Callithrix jacchus: one gene and its partners. The protein of the gene in region 2 interacts with the protein of the main gene of each other region in a biochemical or structural test. Links are inferred from orthologs where the notes say so. Each region holds a gene or a part of one and is shown on either strand. Other genes may lie near its edges. The genes, in order: BMP2, ACVR2A, ERBIN and BMP7.

What was found.
Region 1: the proteins of ACVR2A (region 2) and BMP2 form a complex in vitro, tested with the Homo sapiens proteins (3 studies listed by BioGRID and IntAct, with this or other methods). The link is inferred for Callithrix jacchus from reciprocal best matches to the Homo sapiens genes ACVR2A and BMP2.
Region 3: the proteins of ACVR2A (region 2) and ERBIN interact in a test that uses a peptide from one of them, tested with the Homo sapiens proteins (2 studies listed by BioGRID and IntAct). The link is inferred for Callithrix jacchus from reciprocal best matches to the Homo sapiens genes ACVR2A and ERBIN.
Region 4: the proteins of ACVR2A (region 2) and BMP7 are reported together in a solved structure, tested with the Homo sapiens proteins (2 studies listed by BioGRID, with this or other methods). The link is inferred for Callithrix jacchus from reciprocal best matches to the Homo sapiens genes ACVR2A and BMP7.

Annotation. Positions count from the first base shown.
Region 1 is NC_133506.1:14,044,848-14,051,191, forward strand, and holds the start of BMP2 (bone morphogenetic protein 2), read left to right. Parts: upstream 1-1,961; 5' UTR 1,962-3,160; intron 3,161-4,386; 5' UTR 4,387-4,393; coding exon 4,394-4,739; intron 4,740-6,344. UniProt on the Homo sapiens protein: Growth factor of the TGF-beta superfamily that plays essential roles in many developmental processes, including cardiogenesis, neurogenesis, and osteogenesis. Induces cartilage and bone formation.
Region 2 is NC_133507.1:82,529,970-82,536,274, reverse strand, and holds the start of ACVR2A (activin receptor type-2A), read left to right. Parts: upstream 1-2,061; 5' UTR 2,062-2,287; intron 2,288-2,612; exon of another isoform or gene 2,613-2,645; 5' UTR 2,646-2,724; coding exon 2,725-2,779; intron 2,780-6,305. UniProt on the Homo sapiens protein: On ligand binding, forms a receptor complex consisting of two type II and two type I transmembrane serine/threonine kinases.
Region 3 is NC_133503.1:143,450,692-143,456,474, reverse strand, and holds part of ERBIN (erbin), read left to right. Parts: intron 1-1,581; coding exon 1,582-1,765; intron 1,766-4,477; coding exon 4,478-5,783. UniProt on the Homo sapiens protein: Acts as an adapter for the receptor ERBB2, in epithelia. By binding the unphosphorylated 'Tyr-1248' of receptor ERBB2, it may contribute to stabilize this unphosphorylated state.
Region 4 is NC_133506.1:52,767,969-52,773,751, forward strand, and holds part of BMP7 (bone morphogenetic protein 7), read right to left. Parts: intron 2,825-5,783; coding exon 2,627-2,824; intron 1-2,626. UniProt on the Homo sapiens protein: Growth factor of the TGF-beta superfamily that plays important role in various biological processes, including embryogenesis, hematopoiesis, neurogenesis and skeletal morphogenesis.

The DNA of each region.
Region 1 (6,344 bases), on a different chromosome or scaffold from region 2:
ACTTCGCATCCCAAATACAATCTTTGGAGATTATTTATTTATTTATGAACTTCTTTCTTTCAAGCGTTCGAATTCATTTTCACCACAAGAGGGCAGCCATCTCTTAAAAAAAAAAAAAAAAAAAATGAAGCCTTGGTTTTGAGAGAAATAGGGCCAAAATTTAGGTAAGTTGTGCTTGGGACAGGCATTCAGTAGTTCCTCAGAAGTCACACACCCTACATAAAAGAGGTTCTGCAATGGGCAACACCACCATGAAACAGTGCTCGGAATTACCCATTTTCCCTTAGATTCTAAACTGACAAGGTTTCCACTTACCAAGTTACGAAGTTCTAAAGCTGCAAGACATCCTTGATGTCATCACAGGACATTTATTTTTTACTTTTTCTCCGGGGACATTCAATAGTTATCAACTTTTCCTCCTCTTTAAAAGCTACCTATTGATTGAAGTCTCATAGAGGTTTGGTTTGGTTTTTGAAATCTAAGTAATGACAGAAACAACAGTTAACTTCTCAATTAAACTTGATAGGAAAAAAAGTAGTTTCAGAAGCCCAATAAATACTTTTTAAACTGTGTCTATATGTAGAATATGTTTTATTGGCTACTTGTTTGCTGTCCAGTGACTTAGAGTGACAGTCAATTTCTATAGCACCTTCCCCGTCCCCCCCAATCCCCCCCCGGGCGCAAGAAATAAAGTAGCATGTTCCTGAATAACTCCCCCCACCTCTCTTTTATTTTCCTGGTAGGCAGGCTTCCTCCAAAATACCTTATTTGACCTTTATACCTTTAGAAACAGCAAGTGCCTAATTCGCCTCTGTGGGTTGCTAATCCGATTTACGTGAGCGGAACCTAGAATTATTTTAGTTCCCCCACCGAAAAAATAATACACATGGATAATAGTTTTATTACCAGCTCCCGATTCTGACTTTTTTCTCTGTGTTTTGCAAGCCCAATAGCTCTGGGAAAGCAGAACCTGGCCTTTACCAAAAATTTCTGCCCTTGGTTTTGGGGATCATTTGGGCAACCCCGAGGTGCTGTGCAAGGGGGCTCCTGGAATCCTGGGAAGGGTAGAAACCCTTAGCCCCAGACTCACGGTGCAGCAGCTCTGAGAATATTTCAGCTGAGGAGTGAGTTGAGTGAATATTCAGCTGAGGAGTGATTTGGCCACGTGTCACAGCTCTACTTCTTGGGGGCCTGGTGGAAGAGAGTGGAGTAGAAGGTCCTAAGGTCCCAGACTGGAATTGTCCTGTATGCTTGGTTCACGCTATGCATTGTTTTACCTTCCTCTGAGCTGCTAATCGCCTGCCTCTGAGGCGCAAAGATACAAGGATATATTTATATAAACATACATTTACATGTACATGGATATGAAAATAAATGCATACACATATTTATGTAAATGGAAATTTGTACACATGCATTTACATATGTAAATACATACATCTCTATGTATTAATGTTTAAAAGTACTCAATTTCCAGCCTCCTGTTTCTTTTAATTTTCCTCCTGTTCCAGGGAAACAGAAGTGTGGATCCCACGTCTATGCTATGCCAAAATGCGCTGCAATTGAGGTGTCCTGTTTTACTTTTTGAAATCGTGTATTACCGAAAAACTTCAAACTGAAAGTTGAATAACGGGCCCAGAGGGGAAATAGAGGCCAGACCCTGACCCTGCGTTTGTCCTGGATTTCGCCTTCAGAGTCCCCCGAGGGTCCGGCGCGCCAGCTGATCTCTCCTTTGAGGGCAGGGGGTGGAGGCGCGAGCGCCCGCCTAGGCGGCCGCACGCCCCCGCCCTCTGCCCCACCCCGCCGCGGCTGCCCGGGCGCGCCGTCCACACCCCTGCGCGCAGCTCCCGCCCGCTCGGGGATCCCCGGCCCGCGCCGCCGAGGGGGAGGTGTTCGGCGGAGGCCGGGAGGGAGCCTGCTGGCGGCGTCCCCTTTAAAAGCCGCGAGCGCCGCGCCACAGCGCCGCCGCCGCCGTCGCCGCCGGAGTCCTCGCCCTGCCGCGCTGCGCCCGGCTCGCACTGCGCTAGTCGCTCCGCTTCCCACACCCCGCTGGGGACTGGCAGCCGCCGCTGCACGTCGACCGCCACAGCGTCCGCCAGCGACCCTAACGCTCTCGGGGCCAGCGCCGCGCAGATCACCCGGGGGGCGCGAGGCACCCGCGAGTCGCAGACCCCGCGCGGGCTTGAGCACCCGGCCGAGCGCGCCACAGCGCCGTGGCCTCGGCTGCCCGGGCTGCGCCAGAGCCGCGGACGGGCGCTCAGGGCGCCGGGGACTCTGGAGCCGAACCCGAGCGCCGCGATGCGGAGCACCTCCTGCCGGAGATCGGGGGCCTGGGACGCGCCGGCCGAGGTGTGATCGGACCCCAGGCTAGCCACAAAGGGCTCTTGGCCCCCAGGGCTGGGAGAACGAGGGGAGAGCACAGTCACCCACCTCGGCGGCCCGGGACTCGGCTAGACTCGCCGAAGAATGAGCCCGAGGACGACGGGGCGCCTGAGCCTCGGTGCTTTCGACTGGCGAGCGCGAATGGGGGTGCATTGGAGTAAGGCAGAGTGATGCTGGGGGGCAACTCGCCTGGCACCGAGATCGCCGCCGTGCCCTTCCCCGGACCCGGCGTCGCCCAGGATGGCTGCTCCGAGCCATGGGCCGCAGCGGAGCTAGCGCGGAGCGCCCGACCCTCGCCCCCGGAGTCCCGGAGCCGGCCCGCGCGGGGCCACGCGTCCCACGGGCGCTGGTTCCTAAGGAGGACGACTGCACCAGCTTCTCCTTTCTAGCTTTCCTTCCCTTCCCTGCCCCGCACTCCTCCCCCTGCTCGCTGTTGTTGTGTGTCAGCACTTGGCTGGGGAGTTCTTGAACTTGCAGGGAGAATAACTTGCGCTCCCCACTTTGCGCCGGTGCCTTTGCCCCAGCGGATCCTGCCTCGCCACCGCCACCTCCGAGCCCCACCGCCCCTCCACTCCTCCGCCTTGCCGGACCCTGGGACGCTGTTCCCAGCGTGAAAAGAGAGACTGCGCGGCCGGCATCCGGGAGAAGGAGGAGGCAAAGAAAAGGAACGGACATTCGGTCCTTGCGCCAGCTCCTTCGACCAGAGTTTTTCCATGTGGACGCTCTTTCAATGGACGTGTCCCCGCGTGCTTCTTAGACGGACTGCGGTCTCCTAAAGGTAGAGGACGCTAGCCAGGGGCCGGGGTGGGGGTGGGTGGGAGGGGGATCTGGGCAGTCACTGCGGCAGAGCCCTTCCTTATGTCCAGGCCAGAAGTAAACAGACCCCTCTCCAGGTCCACGTGCACCGGAGCCCTGTGGGGGTGCCCCCTTCAAGCTGCCCCGGGAGACCATCAGCCTCACCCTCCCAGCCCGCACTCTTCCACCCCTCTTCTTTCCCCTCTCCCCCGAATACTTGTGAAGCTGTTAACACTTAAATGAATTTTTTTTAAGAGTCAAGGGTCAAGGAAATCCCTTTGAGAGGGTAGCCCCTGGCTTTCACCCGTTAGCTGAGAACCTGTCCACCCTGCCGTGGTGATCTCCCTTCTTCAAGTGTGGCTGAGAGACTTGGTTTCTTTACACAGAGCCATGTCCCATTTAGGAAAGTACTAGGAGTTGGGATTCTCCCTACTCGTTTCCAGAAATGCGAGCAGTCGGTACTGAAGGATCGCTTGGTACTGTGTTTTTAACAGCTGACACGTGCATTAATAGATATTCGCCATTTACGTAATCCCAGGAAGATACATGTGTGTCTTACCTGTACTATGGGGATGCGGGATTGAGTGGCCTCTCCAGACACCCCTGAGGGTAGGGACCTGGGCCACAAGTTTTAAGTGGCTTTGGAAGTTGTGGCCTTGAGCTTACAGGGTCTGGAAGTTATAGGCTGTGTGTGTGTGTGTGTGTGTGAGTGTGTGTGTGTGTGTGTGTGTGTGTATGAGGAAGTTCTATACAGCGCCTCTAAGGAAATCACATGCACCATTTGCATGTGTTTATATGCCAGAGAGCGCTGAGCACTATGCATTTGGGTTTGTATAGGGGACGCAGGGTGTCAGACCAAGCGGTGGTTCTCCCAGGTTCCCTGCACTGACTGTCAGCGCTGTGTCACAACAAAAAGGTGACCATCATTGCAGCTGGTTTGGTTGGGAGGGGAGGGCAAACCCCAGATCTGATGTCAGACGAGTTAAGAGTTGGATGGGAGCGAGAACTCATCTGGTCCTGGAACTTGGGACCTTTCATTATCCCAAACATTTGAGCCTTGGTCGGTCTTACGTACACTCGCGAGTGTGCCAAGCCAGGAGGGCACCCTGGAGGAGTCAAGTTTGCCAAACGGGAGCCGGGGCCGCGGGGGCGCGAGGGGGGAGGACTGGGCGGGGAACTCGGGGTGACTCACGTCGGTCCTGTCTGCAGGTCGACCATGGTGGCCGGGACCCGCTGTCTTCTAGCGTTGCTGCTTCCCCAGGTCCTCCTGGGCGGCGCGGCCGGCCTCGTTCCGGAGCTGGGCCGCAGGAAGTTCGCGGCGTCGTCGTCGGGCCGCCCCTCGTCCCAGCCCTCCGACGAGGTCCTGAGCGAGTTCGAATTGCGGCTGCTCAGCATGTTCGGCCTGAAGCAGAGACCCACCCCCAGCAGGGACGCCGTGGTGCCCCCCTACATGCTAGAGCTGTATCGCAGGCACTCGGGTCAGCCGGGCGCACCCGCCCCAGACCACCGGCTGGAGAGGGCAGCCAGCCGAGCCAACACTGTGCGAAGCTTCCACCATGAAGGTGAGGCGCGGAGCAGGGCGTGGGGGCGGGGAGTTACCCTGCGAAGCCCTCCACCCAGGGCAGACTGCAGCCATCCCTGCAGAGGCAGCTTGGCCAGGGCACCGGGGAACGTTTCCACTCTGGCTTCTGTACCATCGTTTCTGAACCTGATTTTAACTCATTGTAACTCATCGCTTGTGTGGTGGGGGAGCCAGGGATTCCCCTTGAGTAACTCCGCCACCCTCTTCCCTGGCTTGCGGCCAGAAGAGTTCCTCCTCCCAGGAACTGGAGAGAAATCAAGTGATGGGGAAGATGAGGGCAAAAGGCATGCCCCTAGTCAGCTAAACGTGCAAGAATTCCACAGAGAGAAAAGGAGAAAAAGGGAGGCAGATTGACATTTCTTTAAGTCTGTTTGGAAGCTTTTGCTCTATAAATCTGCTGCTTAAGCCAGGGTTTCAGGCTAGACAGAGCCAAGGACAGAGTTTGCAGAGATAGTATTGAAAAATCAAAGCCCAAAGTCTTTCTAATTTATAGTTGATCTGGGCCTGGTTTGGAAGATTTTGAATCCCGATCTAATCCCCGTGGGAGATCAATTCTACAATCAATCTTATTGTTTCCACAATGGCTTTCTTGTCCTGTGCTTAAATCTGAGATAGGCCCTGAGTAGAGACAAGGCAAGCCTTCAGATAAAAGCATTTGTAGCAGCTGCCTGTTTTTTTTTTAATGTGCACTGAAATGTGGATTTTTTTTTTCTTTTATGATACTACATGTGGTTTTTCTAAGGTGGGATATATCTGCTTGTTTCATCAGAAGGGCATTTTGTCGAGTGGGAATGTCTTACAGCGGCTATTGAGAGCCTCTGTACCTAAGTTCTTAGAGCAATTAGTCAAAAATATGTTCCACTCCAATTCTTTTTCTACACTTTTAGATGCTTCTTTGGCTTAATACATTTAAAATAGAGCATGGGTTTCTTCAAATCCCAGAAAAGAGTACAAAGTTGTACATCACAGAGCAATGAAGGATATTTGGGGAGTTGGGAGTGAAGCTCTCTTTCTTGCCTTTCCCTGCTTAGGTGGTAAGTTTCAGGTGGGAAATCTACACCGATAATAGACTAATCAGAAATGGCACAGCCAGATGTTTTCTCCCAGTGTGAAGAATGACTTATGCTTGTGAGAACATTTGTTGGTAATGGAAATAAGTCCCAAAGGCAGGCCACATAGCAGAAGATACATTATCATTGAGGCAGCTCTACATCATGGCGGGGATACTGAATTGATCATCAGTTCATTTTCAAGCACATTTCTGCTAGCTAGAAATCAGATTTGAAAGGCGGTAAGAACTCACTCCGCTCTTTCAGAATTCATCCAGTGAAAGCAGAAGTCATCTGTTGTCATGTGTAAAATTTGTGTGTGTGTGGGGGGTGTGTATTCTGCCCTCTTAGCCCTGAAATTATTATAGATCCAGCTAATCATTCCCAGTAAATGCTGATTAGAATAGTTTTGTTTGTTTGTTGTTTGAGTATAGAAATATAGTCAGAACAGCTGTTTTAGACACCTCTTGTGGAAATTTAGCATGGAAGTTCTTAACTTTATTTTTAAGGCCAGGAAGATGCTGTGTCTCTGTTAT
Region 2 (6,305 bases):
AAACACATTTAGGAACAGAATAGCTAGCTACTGTTACTGGTTGTTAATACTTCTCCCCTGGGGTTATTACTATTATTTTTTGTCTTTGTTAGAAAGGAATGTTCTAGTGAAGACTGGTTGCGTGTCTTTAATACTACAGAAAGATGATTTTCATGCTCTTATTCTTATACTGGCAAATTCAGTTGGTAAGATAAAGAATATATTTTCAAGTTTCAGTTGCATTACTCACTATTCCAGTTATTCCACTTGCTCTGGTTTCACAATTAAAGAAATATTGAAATGATGGATAGATAAGACAATAGTGGGGCCTGACCCTGACAACACATTCTTTAATGAACTTCAAGTGTTTCTAGAGTAAAATATACTCTTCCATTCCAGAACCATTAGTGAAACTCTTAGTTCAACCAGAGAATGGAAGGTTTATACATATTCCTTTGCCAACTCACAAAGGTGGGAGAACTACATGAAATCAGACACCTTTAATACCGACTTGGGATTTTAACTGTTGCAAATATCAGTGAAATTCTGAGCACCACGACTTGAGAACTGGAAATCTTGGAGAGAGTTTAAAAAGCCACAATGATTATTAATAACCCTGACAAGTTGTAGAAATGGGCAGATAATTACAGGATGAACTTAATAGAAATACGGAGTAATTTAGAGGAAGTCAACTGCTATAAATATAAGTGAGAAGACTTGATTTTGTGGGAAAAGGTGGGAATCAGTAAACCACAAGTAAAACATAAATCAGCTATATAGTACAGTTGCTTTATTATTATTATTATTAAAAAAAACTTTGTAGAGTACATTAAAGGAGACTGTACTTAAGGGAAAGGCAGTTATCCTTTAGTCATTTATACAATTATTTATTAAGCACTTATCATGTGCCAGTTGGTACTTCTGGGTGCTGGAATAAAATAAGGAAAAAAAAAAAATCAAGATCTTTCTTCCCGAAGCTCACTAAAGTGTGGTAAATGACAGAGCAAGTACTTTCAATGGTCTTTAGTTTGCATTCTGCAGCCAACTGAATACAGCAAATACTAAAAGCTACTTGAGGTAGGGATCCATCCTATTTTTACCTGTTGGATCCCATTCCGTGCCTAGCACACCAGCTTGTAAGCAGTCAACATGGATTAAGGAGTAAAAGCAGGCCCTAAAAGAGCTTAAAATTTGAACATGTAAACACTTGTCTGATCATTAAATATGTCGATCGAAATTCCCAGTTTTTTTCTTCAAAGCGCAGTAAACAAGTATTTGTGCCCCTATTACGTACAAAACAGTTGTCAACACAATTCTTTGTGTGTAAAAGGAACGGTGGGAATGAATTCAAGTTGGGCATCGTGATAAATGGCGTGAATACCCTGACCGGGTGGACAGCCCTTCCTCCGTGTTTTTTTTGCTCTTCTAGTCACCAAGAGAGCACGCGTGTGCAAAAACCGCAGCGGTGGGATGCACAGCTAAATCTGGGGGCTCAGACACCAGCTCGCGGATTGCGAGCTCGCCTGGGCAGCTCGGCGGGCGCGGCGAAAATAGCTCCCACGGCCGGCTTCCACCGATTCCTCGGTCTCCGAGAGGACGACGCGTCCCCGCCAGAGGAAAGACTGGGCGCCACAGACGCCCCTCGGAGAAGCACCGGCCACTCGCCCCACCTCGGGGTCCTGTTGCTTTTGGGCTTCCCCTGACCCTTCGCGTGGGCGCTCCAGAGACGTCAGTGGGAACGCGATTTGCAAACGGGGCGCGCCCGGCCACAGCCCAAGCACAGCTCAGAGACTTTGAGGCGCCCGCGCCCCTTTGTCGCGGGATCTCTCGCCCAAGCAGGCCGGACGCCGAGGCCTCGCGGTATCAAGCCTCCGTCCGCCCCGCCTCCTCTCCCTCCACTCGGCCCCGCCCTCGCTCTCTCACCCCTCCCCCGCTCCCGCCTCGCTTCCCCGACAATCTCCTCGCGCTCCCGGCCCGGCACGCGCGCTGCGCCGGGCCGCCGCTGCAGCCGCCGCCGCCGCCGCTGCCGCCGAGCGTTCCTCCGCTGCGCGGGGCTTCCAGCTTCGGGCCGGAACCGGAAGTGTGGGGGGCGGAGCCCGGCGGAGGCCAGGAGACCGAAAACGCGGCCGAGTCCGGAGCCCGGAGCCGGAGCCGGAGCCAGAGCCTGGACCAGAACTTGGCCGCCGCCTGCACCGCCGCTGCCGCCGCTGCCGCCCGCCGCCCCTTCCCCGCACCGCAGCCGCCTTGACCGCCACCGCCGCGAGCTTGGCCGCCAATGGTCCTGAGACATTAGGTGTCCGGGTTGAAGGTCGGTCCGGACGTCGGACCCAGTCGGTTCCCAGACTGTCCGGGCGGCAGCGGACGCCGCCGCCGCCGCCGCCTCCTCGTCGCCTCAGCCTGGCGTTTTGTTTCGAGAGACCGGAGAGGCGAGCGGAGCTGACAGTGATTTTGACAGTGATTTAAACCCGCTTTTGTTGTTGTTGGCTTTTCGTTGTTTGGTTTTGTGTGTTGTGCGTGTGTGTGGCGGTTTTTCCCCCGTGGTGCATTTTATTTTTTATTGTTGTGCTCTTTTTTCTTTTTTTGTTTTTTAAACCCAGTGAACGTTTTTTTTTTTTTTTTTGGTCTGGGCTCCCGAATATGTTTTATGACGGTTGATTTTACACCAGGAGGTTTGTCTCCGAGGAAGACCCAGGGAACTGGATATCTAGCGAGAACTTCCTCCGGATTCCCCGGCGTCTCGGGAAAATGGGAGCTGCTGCAAAGTTGGCGTTTGCCGTCTTTCTTATCTCCTGTTCTTCAGGTAGGTGCAGGGAGCGCGGCGCGGCGGGGCTGCTCCTGCGGCCGCGGCGGCCGCTGCTGGGGGCCGCGGCTGGTGTCGGGTCGGAGAGTCCAGTGGAGCCTGGGGAGGTTGCCCACACCCCGCGCCCCTCGGCTGCCACCCCCCAGGTCTGATTGTGATCTGGGAACCTCCATGCATTTTTCTCCTTTTGAGTTGGGTTGGCGTGATAAGAGTGAGTGCTGTGTTGTTGTGGAAGTGAGAAAGTCATGTTTTGTGGCCATAACACTAGATGACAAGGCTGGTTGGGTTGCAATTAAGCCGCAAATACCACAAGTGGCAATTTATGCAAAGGTTGAGACCCGAAAGGAGTATTTAGTGTGGGCTCCCCTAAAACCAGGGTTGCTTTTTGTCATCTTTTAATTGGTGCTTCACCCGTGAATATCACGACATAGATCAAGTCAGTTGCTGCTTAATTTTGGCTGTGAGAAGCAGTACATCCTTTCAGTAGATTAATCTGGGTCTCCCCTCACGTTTTCTTCAACTTCAGTGTCCAGCAGTGTTAAAAATAGTTGTAGTTGTTGTTGGAGTATTAACTATAACCCACTGCAGAAGAGGTATGCCGCTTGGGGTTGGTAATGTGCTGGTGTTCAACCACCATTTGTGTGCTCTTTGGGGGCATAGATTTTGCTTACCTACGGAATACTTATTTTAAACGCTTTGTATTGAAGCGTTGTTTTCGGTTTAGAACAACCCATGTGAAATTGTTTCTGTTGAATATAATAGACTCATAAAATAGGTTTTAGCTAAAGGTTGGGGGAATAATCTGGCCATTTCATATTGGAAATTTCGATTTTGTGAGAACGTTCTGTGGTTGCAACCAGTGGTTGGAAAAACTATCTAGTCTTTTGTATTTGAAATTCTATAAATGTATACATCATTAGCTCAGAGGTGTGCAGATGTACACAACAGGAGACTTAGTTCAATAGATGAAACATTTTAAAAGTCTCATTGGATCTATTTATCGTAAAATTTAATATTCAGTTACCAGCTTGTGGCATAGAATTACTGGGGACGGGTGGGGGGGGCAAATTGACAGGTTTCATGGCCATGTCTTTATCTCGTTTGCCATAGGAAAATTAAAGGGTGGTAGTCTTCTTTGTGTACCTCTATGGGGTGTGTGTGTGTGTATGTGTGTTTGTGTCCATCTTCCCCAACCCCCTTTAAATAGAATCTTTTGTAATGTATAGAATTTTGCTGAATGGTACATTTCCTTGTGGTTAATAAATGGATAAAGTCTAGTCTTATGTCTGTAGTGGTATTGATCAGTTCCGGGTGGGCTGAATGTGTTGTGAAATGGCGATCATTGCCAGAGATTAACCAAAAGAATCATGTCTGTTTAAATGGAAGAAGGAACATGCTTAAGGCAGGCTGACAGTTCTTTTTGTGCATGGTTTGGGGAGGAAGCTAAACAATGGTGTGTCTGAAATGAATGAAGGCCTTGATAACATTAAACCTCTTGCTCTTGTGACATGATTTAACCATGTAGTTTTTATCTTTCCAGTAGTACTCTTTTTTTTTTCCTGCTTCTATATGTTGTGGCTGGTGAACTCCTCTTGTTCAAATCCCTTGTTGTGATCTCTTGCCCTTGAGGAGGAGGGGCATCATGGCCACTGACCAAGGAATTGTGGACATTATTCCCTCCAAACCCACCTGAGTCACACTAATTGGTGAAGGAGGTTATTCTTGAGCAGTCTCAAGGTATTACTTCTGGAAAAGCAGGCTGTTGCTACAGATCTTACAGCTTCCTCTGCTTGGTTTGGTAGTAAAAATAACTGAGCATTAGTTTCTTGTGGGATTATTTCCATTGGGCCAGGATTGTTTTCAGTGGGCCAGGAGGTTAACAGCTATAGTTTTGAAATAAAGTAATTTTGTTGCTATAGGGCATATAGATAGTCCACTTATATTAAATTAATATTGTGTTGTTGCATAGGCTTTTTAAGATGAACATTCCCAGTTGAACAAAAATTTGTGGTTCTGTTGAAGATAATTGAAATCTTAAAGACCCTAATCCATATTTATACATGAAGAATTTGAGTACTTAAAATGTCTGATTTTTAAAAGGCTTTTGTTATGGATCAGATGCACTCTAAAAAAGGATTATTGTGTTTCTCCAACTAATTGATTTTTCTACAAAATGTGTAATCTGGCATATTGGAAACATGAGGTAACTATTTTTATGAGAATTTAAAAAGTTCTCAGTTTGTCTATTTTCATTTCTAGATATTTTATTTCATTTTTTAATCAAAATGGGAAACAATAGTAAGAACAGTTTTGTTCCAGGTGTTTAGGAGGAATGTTTACTATTTCGTGGACTCTAATTTTTCAAATTCTATCCCATGATATGTATTCTGGAGACTGATTATGCAGACTATTCCTGTAGGATATGGCCAAGTGTATAATTTCTTCCTCTTTCTCATTCCAGGGGAAGCATTTTAAATTTTGCCCTCATCCTTGAGTGCCTTCAGATTCTCTTTGATTTTGAATTTTTTCATTCCTCTCATACCTCCTTAGATTCTGTTTCAAAACATAAATCTTAGTTTTCTTTTTATAGCATTGTGGTTAATTTGTATCTTTCCCCACAGTTTGTTAAAGTATGAGAATGACTTTAGTACTTGCCTTAGTACTTAGGTTTATCCCATTTAGAGTGATGCAGCTATTGTGGTATTTGAGTTGCATTGAAGTAAGTTGAGAATTCCTTTGGATTTTGTGGGAGCTGCAGCAGTATGGTCAATCTATTTGATGAAATAGGAAATGGAAATATGGTAATCATGTTACATTTTCTTCAGTTTAGCTAGGCAATACTGTGTATGTGTGAATGTATGTGTGGTTGGAGGGAGAGCTGGCAGTACAGATAATCTTTTGAACTTTGGCTAACAAGTGATGGATGTTAACACTTTGTTTTCTAAAAGGCAGAATCTCTTATAAATGCTGTTTGCGGTCAAATTCAAATATATACATTTGAAACATGGAGACCAGAAAAAAAATGAAACAAAGTTCTCCTGCCATTCATTTTGTATTATTTTTTTTCCTATTTGTGATCTAAGCCAGTAGTTCTTAGGCTGGGGTGATTTCCCCCTCCCTAACTCCCCAAATCCCCATCCATGGGACATTTTGAGACATTTTTGGTTGTCACAACAGGGGCGGGGTGTGCTACTGGCATCTAGTTGGGTAGAGGGCAGGAATGCTGCTAATTGTCCTACAATGCACTGTACAGCCTTCCACAACAAAGAGTTTTCTGGCTTAATATGTCAGTAGTGTAGAGGTAAAAAAAAAAAAAATCCTATTCTAAGAAAACCATATACTACATGTTCTCACTTATAAGTAGGAGCCAATTGATGAGAAAATATGAAAACCAAGAACAGACAATGGGGTCTACTTGAGGATGGAGGGTGGGAGGAGTGAGGTGAGCAGAAAAGACAACTATTGGGTACTGGACTTAATACCTGGGTGAAGAAATCTGTACAGTAAACCCCCATGATATGAGTTT
Region 3 (5,783 bases), on a different chromosome or scaffold from region 2:
TGAAACATTTTAGAAACAAATTTTTAGAGATGGCTTTCTGAAAGGTTGTTTCCTTCCCTCATATTTTTAGAGAAAGGCTTTGATAGTCTTTTCTTTTCCCTCATGCATATTTACTTACAAAGGCATGGACTTCACAGACAGATAAGCCTAGATTGTAACTTCATTTCTGCCACTTACCTGCTGTGTGATCCTTGAATTACTCAATTTTATCCATGTCCTGATTTGACATACAATGAAGCTAATGAAGAAGTTTGCATCAAATGGGCTAGATAATATATTTTTCAGCACAGTACCTGATGTAGGTGCTCATTATTTTCATTCTGTCGCAAAACTTTTTTTTTTACACTCTATCCAACCTCTGACAGCGATTTTTCATTTAAGAGAATCTCAGACTCTTAGAGATAAAATGGATCTTGAAGGATATCTGTCCATTCCCTCACCCCTCCCCTCCAGCACCTGAGTATCTTTACATCATCTTCCTCAAATGTTTAGCCTTTTGTCTTTATGACATCAGTGATGCTTGTTATCAAGGTGGTCATTAGATAGCTCGGGTTCATAATACTTGTAGTAATGATACCTAGAATTGGTTGAGCACTAATTGCTTCGGTACTATGCTGAATATTTTACGTGTTATTATCTAATTGTCACAGTAGCCCCCATGATAAGGAAGAGGAAAAGGAGTGTATCTAAGAAAGAACTTAACCATCTATTTTAATGATATTTTAAAAGTTAAGAACCCAAAACCTGAATACCTTGAGATCAAAGTTACAGAGTCCCATTTGCTACTGTTAACTGTAAATACAATCCAAACTACTTTATCTGTGCTCCTAAAATCTCAGAACATCAAAGATATTTTTAATTCATATAATCTTTTATGGATATGTCTGTATACACTGTTTCCATGATTTGGCTAGAATTGAGTTAGTTAAAAACATTTTTGGCACTACTTTGAGAAAAATACTACTTTTTATACTACCTGTCTATTAAAGAATATGAACACTTATCTGTTTCTGTTCATATAATTGCTATACACACAACCACCTCACATATTGAGAGTTTACCATTCATAACAAGTCTATGAAATGTTTTTAAAACATTAAGAAATGAAAGAGCTGACCTTTGAAAATTTCTTGATTGGTGATTGTGTGTTTGTGGATTGACGGCTTATTATCAGAGTAGATGGCAAAAAATTCCTTATGTATAAAATAATTTCTTGCCCAGACAAGTTTACAAAGGTTATAATCTATGTTTTTATTATCAGTTTTTAAAATTGTAAATGGGTGAAAAGTATACTTACTGAAATTGACTGTAGAAAACAGTACATAATATCACCTTGTCAGTAACTAAATTGAATTCTTAATAACTCCAACATTGGTTACTTTTAAAAAATGATATCACCATTTAAAAATTCTTTAATCTTTGTAGTAGGACTGACTTTTCAGGGTGCCTCTGATTATCATCAATATAATTTATTACCTCGTATAGAATCAGGACAGTATAATTGCCATTTGTCATCACTGAAAAGCATTTCACAAAATTCTTGGCTAATTTATCATTGATCTTAAATTTGTTTTGTTTCAGATGATACAAAGGAAATAGATTCCTTATCCGATGAAGTTACACACAATAGCAATCAGAATAATAGCAATTGTTCTTCTCCATCTCGGATGTCTGATTCAGTTTCTCTTAATACTGATAGTAGTCAAGACACCTCACTCTGCTCTCCGGTGAAACAAACTCATATTGATATGAATTCCAAAATCAGGTATGTGAGCATCTTTTATGATTTTTCATTTGTACAGTAAGTAGAAGTGGTAAGGCAGGTAACAAATACATAAACATAAAGGATTTCATAAATAAATTTTATAGAAGTGGTTCGAGTAATATGTTTTCTTTCCCCATTTTTATTGCTGATTTTCTATTTACTTTTTATATATTTTCATTCTAAATTAGATTTTTAAATGGGATAGACTAGATTCTCAGTCTCTTGATTAAAAAGTTGAATATTTATATAATTTTTAGGTATGGCAACATAAACAGCATAGTTGAGGTAATTTAAGTTGAAAGGAGCATTTTTATAGTTAGAAATGCAGAATCATTTTGGAGGGCTGTACCTTAGAAGGTTCAAATACTCAGCCAGGCGTGGTGGCTCACGCCTATAATCCCAGCACTTTGGGAGGCCGAGGCGGGTGGATCACGAGGTCAAGAGATTGAGACCATCCTGGTCAACATGGTGAAACCCTGTCTTTACTAAAAATACTAAAATTAGCTGGGCATGGTGGTGCATGCCTGTAGTCCCAGCTACTCAGGAGGCTGAGGCAGGAGAGTTGCTTAAAACCAGGAGGCAGAGGTTGTGGGGAGCCAAGATCACGCCATTGCACTCTAGCCTGGGTAATAAGAGCGAAACTCCATCTCAAAACAAAACAAAACAAAAAAAACAACAACAAAAAAAAGAAAGTTCAAATACTCTTGACTGGTGTTGTGTATTTGACTTAGGCTTCATTTTGTAGGACACACTCACTGAGAGAGAGAGAAATGTTAATTTGTGTAGCCTGGAATTTAGCTGATGTCTAAAACATGTTTTATTGTTTAGGCCCTTGAGAAAGTTGGTTGTGTGTAATGTTGGCTATGGGTTTGAAAGAAAAAAAGAAAAGAAGAAATTTGGTTATCAGAGTAAGGCCCTGCCATTCTACCATCATGTTATCCTATCAGCTAAACTCTGCTTGTTAGAAAGATGGGAGTTGGCTGGGCTGGACGCAGTGGCTCAAACCTGTAATCCCAGCACTTCGGGAGGCTGAAACAGGAGGATGGCTTGAGCCCAGGAGTTTTAGACCAGCCTGGGCAACATGGTGAAACCCCGTCTCTACCAAAAAAAATACAAAACTTAGCCACATGTTGTGGCACATGCCTGTAGAACCAGTTACCTGGGAGGCTGAGGTGGGATGTGGAAGTTGTCGTGAGCCCTGATCATACCACCACACTCCAGCCTGGGTGATAGAATTAGACCTTGTTTCAAAAAAAAAAAAAAAATTGGGGTTGGCTTGATGTGGTGGAACACGTGTAATCCTAGCACTTTGGGAGGCTAAGGTGGGTAGACTGCTTGAGTTCAGGACTTCAAGACCAGCTTAAGCAAATGGTGAAACTATGAATGTATAAAAAAATTAACCAGGTATGTTGGCATGTGCCTGTAGTCCCAGCTACTCAGGAAGCTGAGGTGGGAGGATAATTTGGGCCCGGGATGTTTAGGCTGCAGCAAGCCATGATCAGGCCACTGCACTCCAGCCTGGGTGACAGAATGAGATCCTGTCTCAAAAAAAGAAAGACTGGCGTTACTACTAAACCAAAAGTTTGGTGTATGGAAAATTTTAACAATTATTTATAGTTGTTCTTAAATTTCAGACATATTTAAGTAAAATTTGTTTATTAATGTGTGTTTTTGGAAAAGGGAGATGAATTTTATGCCTGAAAATGAGTTAAGATGTTGTATAGTTATAATCACAGTCATTTTTTTTCTATTCTCTGAATTTGAGGCTATGAGCTCCTGTTTAAAATACTAATTTTTATAACCTCCTAGATGTTATAATATTAATTTGTTGAATAATAAAATTCTATTTATTTATTGTTGGGAAAGTGGTATGGTATTTTCTAAATTCTGCTTTTAATATAATAGAGCCTAAGCAAGAAGTACAGCAACACCTTTTTGTGCTGTATTTCTAGTAATGAAAGTTATCTTTTTTGTAATGGGAAAACCAGTATTAGGGAATTTTTGTGGAAACGTAACTTGAATATGTATACAAGAGGACACAAATATGTTCAATACCACCAGGTAAAAATAAAGTATTTTCTGTAATTTTGGAATGACATATTTAAAAGTATTTGCGAAATACAGCTAGCTACTTAGAAGAGTGATTAGACTTCATTTATCTTTTATGCCTTTTACATATTTTATGTAAAACTTTGGACAATTATTCATTTCTTTGATTTGTACAATTTTCTTACCTATATATTTGAATGTGATAACTATAGTTAACTATGGTTAATTTGGTTAATAATGTAAAGCTTCAAAATTAACTGTAAAATTGTCCTATGCTCATGACTCCTCTATTCATGTTACTAGTTTTCTATTCATATATCTGCCCTCCATCAGGCATTTCGTTTTTTGCACATTCATGAAAAGATGTAGCAAAGATTAATAATTCCACTTTTGTTCATAGTTAAGTCCTTTAAATTATTTTGAGACAGACTGAGTGTATTGATGAAAATTAATTTGGGTATTGTCTATGAATTTTAATTGTATTATTTGTCTCCAACTGAATATAAAGCTATATTAACTATTAAGCTAATATTTTGTAATTATATGATAATAAATGCCTTTTATCAACTTGTCTACCTATACAGTTTAACTATTTATTAATATTCCCTGTTACTAAGAAAACTTGGCTTTATTATGTTTTTCATAAAATTATCTTTATTTTAGGCAAGAAGATGAAAATTTTAACAGCCTTTTACAAAATGGAGATATTTTAAACAATTCAACAGAGGAAAAGTTCAAAGTTCATGATAAAAAAGATTTTAACTTACCTGAATATGATTTGAATATTGAAGAGCAATTAGTTCTAATTGAGAAAAGTGTTGATTCAACACCCACAGCTGATGACACTCACAAATTAGATCACATCAATATGAATCTTAATAAGCTTATAACTAATGATACATTTCAACCAGATATCATGGAAAGATCAAAAACACAGGATATCACGCTTGGAACAGACTTTTTAAGCATTAATTCTAAAGAGGAAACTCAGCACTTGGAAAATGGAAATAGGTATCCTAATCTAGAATCCGTAAATAAGGTAAATGGACACTCTGAGGAAACGTCACAGTCTCCTAATAGAACTGAACCACATGACACTGATTGTTCTGTTGACTTAGGTATTTCCAAAAGCACTGAAGATCTCTCCCCTCAGAAAAGTGGTCCAGCTGGATCTGTTGTGAAATCTCATAGCATAACTAATATGGAAATTGGAGAGCTAAAAATCTATGACATTCATAGTGATAATGGACCTCAGCAGCCAAATACAGCAGTTAAAATGACATCTGCTGTCGATGGAAAAAATATAGTCAGGAGCAAGTCTGCCACATTGTTGTGTGATCAGCCATTGCAGGTATTTATCGGTTCTTCGTCATCTTCTGATTTAATATCAGGAACAAAAGCAATTTTCAAGTTTGATTCAAATCATAATCCCGAAGAGCCAAATACAATAAGAGGCCCCACAATTGGCCCACAATCTACACCTCAATTATATGGTCCTCCACAGTATAATATCCAATATAGTAGCAGTGCTGCAGTCAAAGACACTTTGTGGCACTCCAAACAAAATCCCCAGATAGATCATGCCAGTTTTGCGTCTCAGCGCCTTCCTAGATCAGAGAGTACAGAAAATCAAAGTTATGTTAAACATTCTGCCAATATGAATTTCTCTAATCATAACAATGTGCGAGCTAATACTGCATACCATTTACATCAGAGACTTGGCTCAGCCAGACATGGGGAAATGTGGGCCATCTCACCAAATGACCGACTTATTCCTGCAGTAACTCGAAGTACAATTCAGCGACAAAGTAGTGTGTCCTCCACAGCCTCTGTAAATCTTGGTGATCCAGGTCCTACAAGGCGGGCCCAGATTCCTGAAGGAGATTATTTATCATACAGAGAGTTCCACTCAGTGGGAAGAACTCCTCCAGTGATGCCAGGATCACAGAGACCTCTTTCTGCACGAACA
Region 4 (5,783 bases), on a different chromosome or scaffold from region 2:
CCTCAAATGCTTCCTGAGTCCAAGCACAGGCCCCAGAGCTGAAAGCAGCTCAGAGCTCCCCATGTAGCCAGCAGTTTGCACCTCTATCAACCTTTTTCTGTGATCAACCTGGACCCAGATACAACTCCTGAGCCGGCCCCAGACGGTGGTGGCCCAGCTCCTTAGCAGGGTGAGAGAAGCACTCTGAGGAGGCCAGGAGAAGTAACTCATGCCCGTAATCTCAGCACTTTGGGAGGCCAAGGCGGGAGGATAGCTTGAGCCCAAGAGTTTGAGACCAGCCTAGGCAATACAGGGAGACCCTGTCTCTACAAAAAATAGCCAGGTGTGGTGGCCGTGCATCTATAGTCCCAGCTACCTGGGAGGCTCAGGTGGGAGGACAGCTTGAGCCCAGGAGGTCAAGGCTGCAGTAAGCCATGTTCACACCACTGTACTCCAGCCTGGGCAACAGAGTGAGACCCTGTCTCCAAATTAAAAAAAAAAGGAAAAGAAAGTCACTTTGCCGACAAAGATGTATTCTTTCCTATCACTGCTTTGACAAATTACCACACACTGTGGCTCAAAACAAGACAACCGGATTATAGCTCTGTGGCTCTGAAGTCCAACACGTCTCAGCAGGTAAGTGCGAGTATAGGCAGGACAGGCTCCTTCTGGGGCTCTAGGGCAGGATCCCATCTTTGCCTTGTGCAGCTTCCCAGGGCTGGCAGCCCCGCTCATCTCTACCTCCCTGTCCTCTGTGCTCACATGGGTCCGACCACAGCTCGCAAAGGCTCTCTCCTGTAGGGACTGATGGGACCGCCTGCTACACAGAGCCCACATATTGGAAGGTCAGCTGATTAGCACCTGTGATTCCGTGGGCAGCCTTAACTCCCCTTTGCCTTGGAGGGTGACATATTCACAGGTTCCAGGAATTAAGACACTGGCATCTTGGAGAGGCTGTTGCCCTGCTCATTGCAACTGGCTTCCCGAGGAGCCAGAGAAATGGCACCTCTGGGCAGCACCTTCCCTGTCCAGTGGGATGGGATTGGGGATGGGAGCAAACTTGGCTCCTTGGATCTGGGGGGTGTCACTCATCCAGCCCACTGGAAAATGGTTTGTTGTCAGGTTCATTGACTCGACACTTTGGTTTTAGTCTGGGAGGAGTCCAGTTGCATCTTCTGGCAGACCTGGCACTGCATGTGCAGGGGGTATAAGCTGGGCAAGGTGTGTGGGAGGGCTGTCCACACACGCCCACAGTGCCAGCAGGGCTGTTCCAGGTCAGCCCACCCGCAAAGCCCAGAACCAGAACACACCTTCTTGAGATTCCAGCAGCCCCAGGTCACAAGAAGCTGTCAATATCAGTTCCCCAATCAGCTTATGCGGAACAGGATTCATCACAGCCACAGCCCCAGTGCCTGGGACAAAGCCAGGCCCATGTGGGGGCTCCACAAACGCCTGGAGAATTGTCAGAAAGCACTTGATGGAGTTGCTGAGGACACCAAAGCTCATCCTGGCCAGGCAGATGGCCCCAGCAAAGCCCAACAGGGAAGAGTACCTGGGGCAAGGGTTCATCCAGACCCCAGGGACCCAATCCCAGGGCTGCCACTTACCTACACTGTGTCCTTAGACAAACGACGTACCCTCTTGGAGCCTCAGTTTTCCCCTCTGTGAAGTGGGAGGTCATCTACCCCAGAACCTCAAGAACCACACAACCTGACGGGCTGAAAGAGGTCTGCTCTAGAGGGGCTGAAGTCTCCTTTGTACAGTGCGTTCGCTTTACTTATGTTTACTGTTAAGACTTGAATTGCTTGCAACGAAAATGTTATCTTTAATTTTTTAAAAAAACATATAGTAGAGAAACATTTCAAACGAATTGAAAAGTATCCCAAATCATATATATTTTTTAAAACCTACCACCTGCCCAGGAGCAGTGCCTCATGCCTGTAATCCCAGCATTTTTGGGAGGCCGAGGCAGGTGGATCACTTGAGGTCAGGAGTTCGAGACCAGCCTGGCCAATATGGTGAAACCCCCTTCTCAACTAAAAATACAAAAATTAGCTGGATGCAGTGGTGCGCACCTGTAGTCCCAGCTACTCAGGAGGTTGAGACTGGAGAATTGCTTGAACCTAGGAAGCAGATGTTTCAGTGAGCTGAGATCGCGTCACTGCACTCCAGCCTGGGTGACAGAGCGAGACTCTGTCTCAAAAACAAAATCAAAACAAACACCTACCATCTATATTTATCAAGTATTAAAATTTGCCATGAATTTAAAACATTTTCACTTTATGAAATAAAGATACAGCAAACTCTTCCACTTCCCCATTTCTTCCTCTCCCTCCTTCAGAGTCTTCCTTCATCTCTGTGTAGCTGTAAGTTCAGCCATTATTCTGTCTATTTAAATATCTACATGCTTGGTGCTGCGTTAAATGTTTTGCTACTAGCATTTCTAAGCTAATTTATGACTTTTACAGAATTAAGATGCTCTGTGTAGGGAGGGACTTGGGGGTTTTCCTCCTGCTATTTGTTCCACAGCCATCTGCTGAGCAGCTGAATGGATTTTGAGTTGCTCCCCTGCCTGGTCCCGCTGGGGCCCTTCAGGGTTCCTGGGGGGTGGGGTGGGGCATCTGTGATCCCTCCCACCTGGGTGTACCTGCCACGTTGGTCATCCGCAGGGCTTCCTGGTTCTTGGGCGTCTTGGATCGGTTCTGGCTGCGCTGTTTGCTCCCTGTGGACCGGATGCTGCGGAAGTGGACCTCTGTGGCCTTGAAGAAAGCCACCATGAAGGGCTGCTTGTTCTGCGGCCCATGCCGCCCGATCAGGCCGGCCAACTTGGGGTTGATGCTCTGCCCTGGACAGGAAGCAGCCAAGTACACGGAAGAATGGTTACGGGGAGAGCGGTTACAGGGAGAGCGGTTACAGGGGAGAGTGGTCACGGGAGGGCGGAGAGCAGGACGGGGCTGCCAAGACACCGTGCCTCCGGTTCATTCGTGAACTCCTTATTCCTCCATCCTGCCAGTATTTATTGAGTACTCACTCTAGGCCATGTGCTGTTTAAGAAACTTGGACCACAACTGCAAACACAGCCAAGAAAACGTCCTGTTCTCTGGGTTTCCATGCTAGTGGGGAAGGCAGGGAGGGGAATATTAGGGGTGGGGAGCCAGGATGATGCCTGCGGAAGGTGGCAAGTTAGTGAACCCCGTAAGTGTCACTCGCATTTCATTGGCCAGAGCAGGTCATGGTATCTGCCTAACTTCAGGGAGTTGGGGGGCAATCTTGCTCTGTGCCAGGGAAGGTGGAGCAGCTGCAAGCAGCTCTAATGACTACGGGGGCCACCTGAGCAGAGATTTGGGTAACAGTGAGCGAGGGGGCCCATTGGATGTCTGGGAAGAGTGTATTTCAGGCAGAGGGAACTGCAGAGGTGAATGCCCAGAGGCAGGAGAGGGGAGGGTGTGCTCAAGGAGCAGGGGCGGGTAGCAGGAACAACTGGGAGGGGCAGGAGGGGCGTGGGTCAGGTCAGGTCCTGTGAGCAACACGAGCACCACCTCAGCCCACTGTCCCACGTTGCTGCTGTCCCCTAAAATTCATACCCACACAGAACCTCAGGATGTGAACTCATTTAGAAGCAGGGTCTTTGCAGATGTGCTGTTGTCAGTTAAGCTCATACTAGATTAAAATGAGCCTTAATCTGCTGACTCATAAGAAGGCCACATAAAGAAACAGACGCAGACAGCCCTAGGAAGACAGAGGCTGTGAAATGCCAAAGATTGCCAGGAGCCCCTGAAGCTGGAAGAGGCAAGGAGCGACTCCTCCCTAGAGCCTTTGTAAGGGGACAGCCCTGTGGGCCTCGACTTTGGACCACTCGCCTCCAGACTGTAAGAGAATAAAGCGTTGTGTTTCAGGCCACCCAGTGGGTGGAACTTCACATCCAGGGCCCTGGTCAGGACACTGAGGCACTCTGCAAGAAGTGAGAACCATGAGGGTGGGACTTACAGTGGTTTTTATAAGGCCACTCAGCCTATCCCTGGAGAGCCGACTGCAGGAGTCAACCTGAAAGGGAGACAACAGCATTGTCCAGATGGGAGATGGCGTGAGACTGGACCCAGGATGGTGGGGAGGGAGGCTGTTGAGAAATGGCTAGATCCTCAAGAGTTCACTTTTAAAATCCATCTTTAGAATTTATTTTGGTTTTAACTTTTTGTTGTGAAAAGATTATAGATTCACAGTTCATTGAAAGACGATGTACAGGGAGGTCCCAAGTGCCCTTCATCCAGTTTTCCCCAAAGGTGACATTTCAAATAACCAGCACACAACCTCCAAACTAGGAAAGGGGAGATTTGGGACTGAATTTTGGGAGGGATTATAAAAGGTGTGAGAAAAAGGGGACTCTTATGAGACTGGCATGCTTTTGGCCCAAGGCCCCAGAAGAAGGGAGGGGCTGTCTACCAACGTAGGGAAACAGAGGCAATGGAGCATAAGCTGAGAAATAGAGGGTGGAAGACAAAATGCAGTTTGCTTTAGTAGATATTGTCTGAAATCCCTACTTGACACCAAAAGGAAGCTGTCAGGTGGGCTGCAGAGATCTGGCCTAGGCTTGATCAATGGATCAACTGGAAAAGAAGAGCTCTGGGCTAGTGAGGGAGGGAGTGGGGCCCGGGCCAGACATCCTGGGTTCAAAACCCTGCCTCTGTCACTTAATGCTCAGCTAGGGCTCAGGGCAGAGCTTTGCATACCCTAAATGCTCAATAAATGCTGGCTCGGGGCAGTGGTCTAGATAGTGATGTAAGCTTGGGCGTCCCCAGCTTGGAGATGGGGTTTAAAGCCAGGACTGGATGAGCTTGCCAGGCGAAAACATGCAGCCAGACGAGCGGTGTGAAGCCTGAGCCTAGGTGGCCTCTGTCTTCCACTGAGGGTCAGAGGAATGCCACGGAGACTGTGCAGGAGTACCCAGTAAGGAAGGATCCAGAAGAAGCCTGGGCAGGAGAAATGGAGACACCAACAGAGTATGGGGTCTCGGAAACCAGGGGAGGAAAGTAGAGGAAGCGAACTCTGCATCCTGTGCTCTGCAGATGGACCTAAGGACACGCCATCTATCCATTAGCATTGACAACGATGAGGTCATTGGCAAATATATATGTAATGCCATGTCTGGGGTGATGAGTATTTCAAAGCCAAAAAGAAAAAGCATCCAGTGGAAACAAAGGCCGTTTTACTCACGACAGCACCAGCTCAGAAAGGCCGAATAACTGCTCAGGGATAAGTAGCTTGGAAGCAACAAAGCAGAATCTGAACCCAGATGAGGATGCCTGAGAGTCAGGAGGCCAAGCCTCTGCAGATACGGTGACCCCAGGTTAGGTGGGGGGGTTGGAGGCCAGCAAAAGCGACGGGCCCATTCGCATCTGGAATTAACCTCACCTGGAGCCCCCCAGACGGGCCAGAAGTCAAGAAATCCAGCCTCCCAGGACCAGACTGGCACCAGGGTTCACTTTGGTTTTTTAACAACTAATATTTAAAAGAACAAATGTCCCCCCACCCACCACTGTTTTACCTTAACCCCCTTTAACGTTCAGCTTTCCTGCATTCTTGAGCGGGGTTTCCCTGAGTTCACCCATCTATAATTTGAATGGTTCTATAAAAGAAACCATTAAAACGGAGCCCCTAGGAACTGTGTTTCCCTCCTGGAAGGCTTTTAGGGCAAAATAAAAATGCCTGGCCTGAAAACCTGATGCTGTTCCAGATGCCTCAAATTCATAAGCTGTAAAAAATCTCTCCCCGCCTCTGAGCGAAGGTGTCTGGCTGGCTCTGGGCAG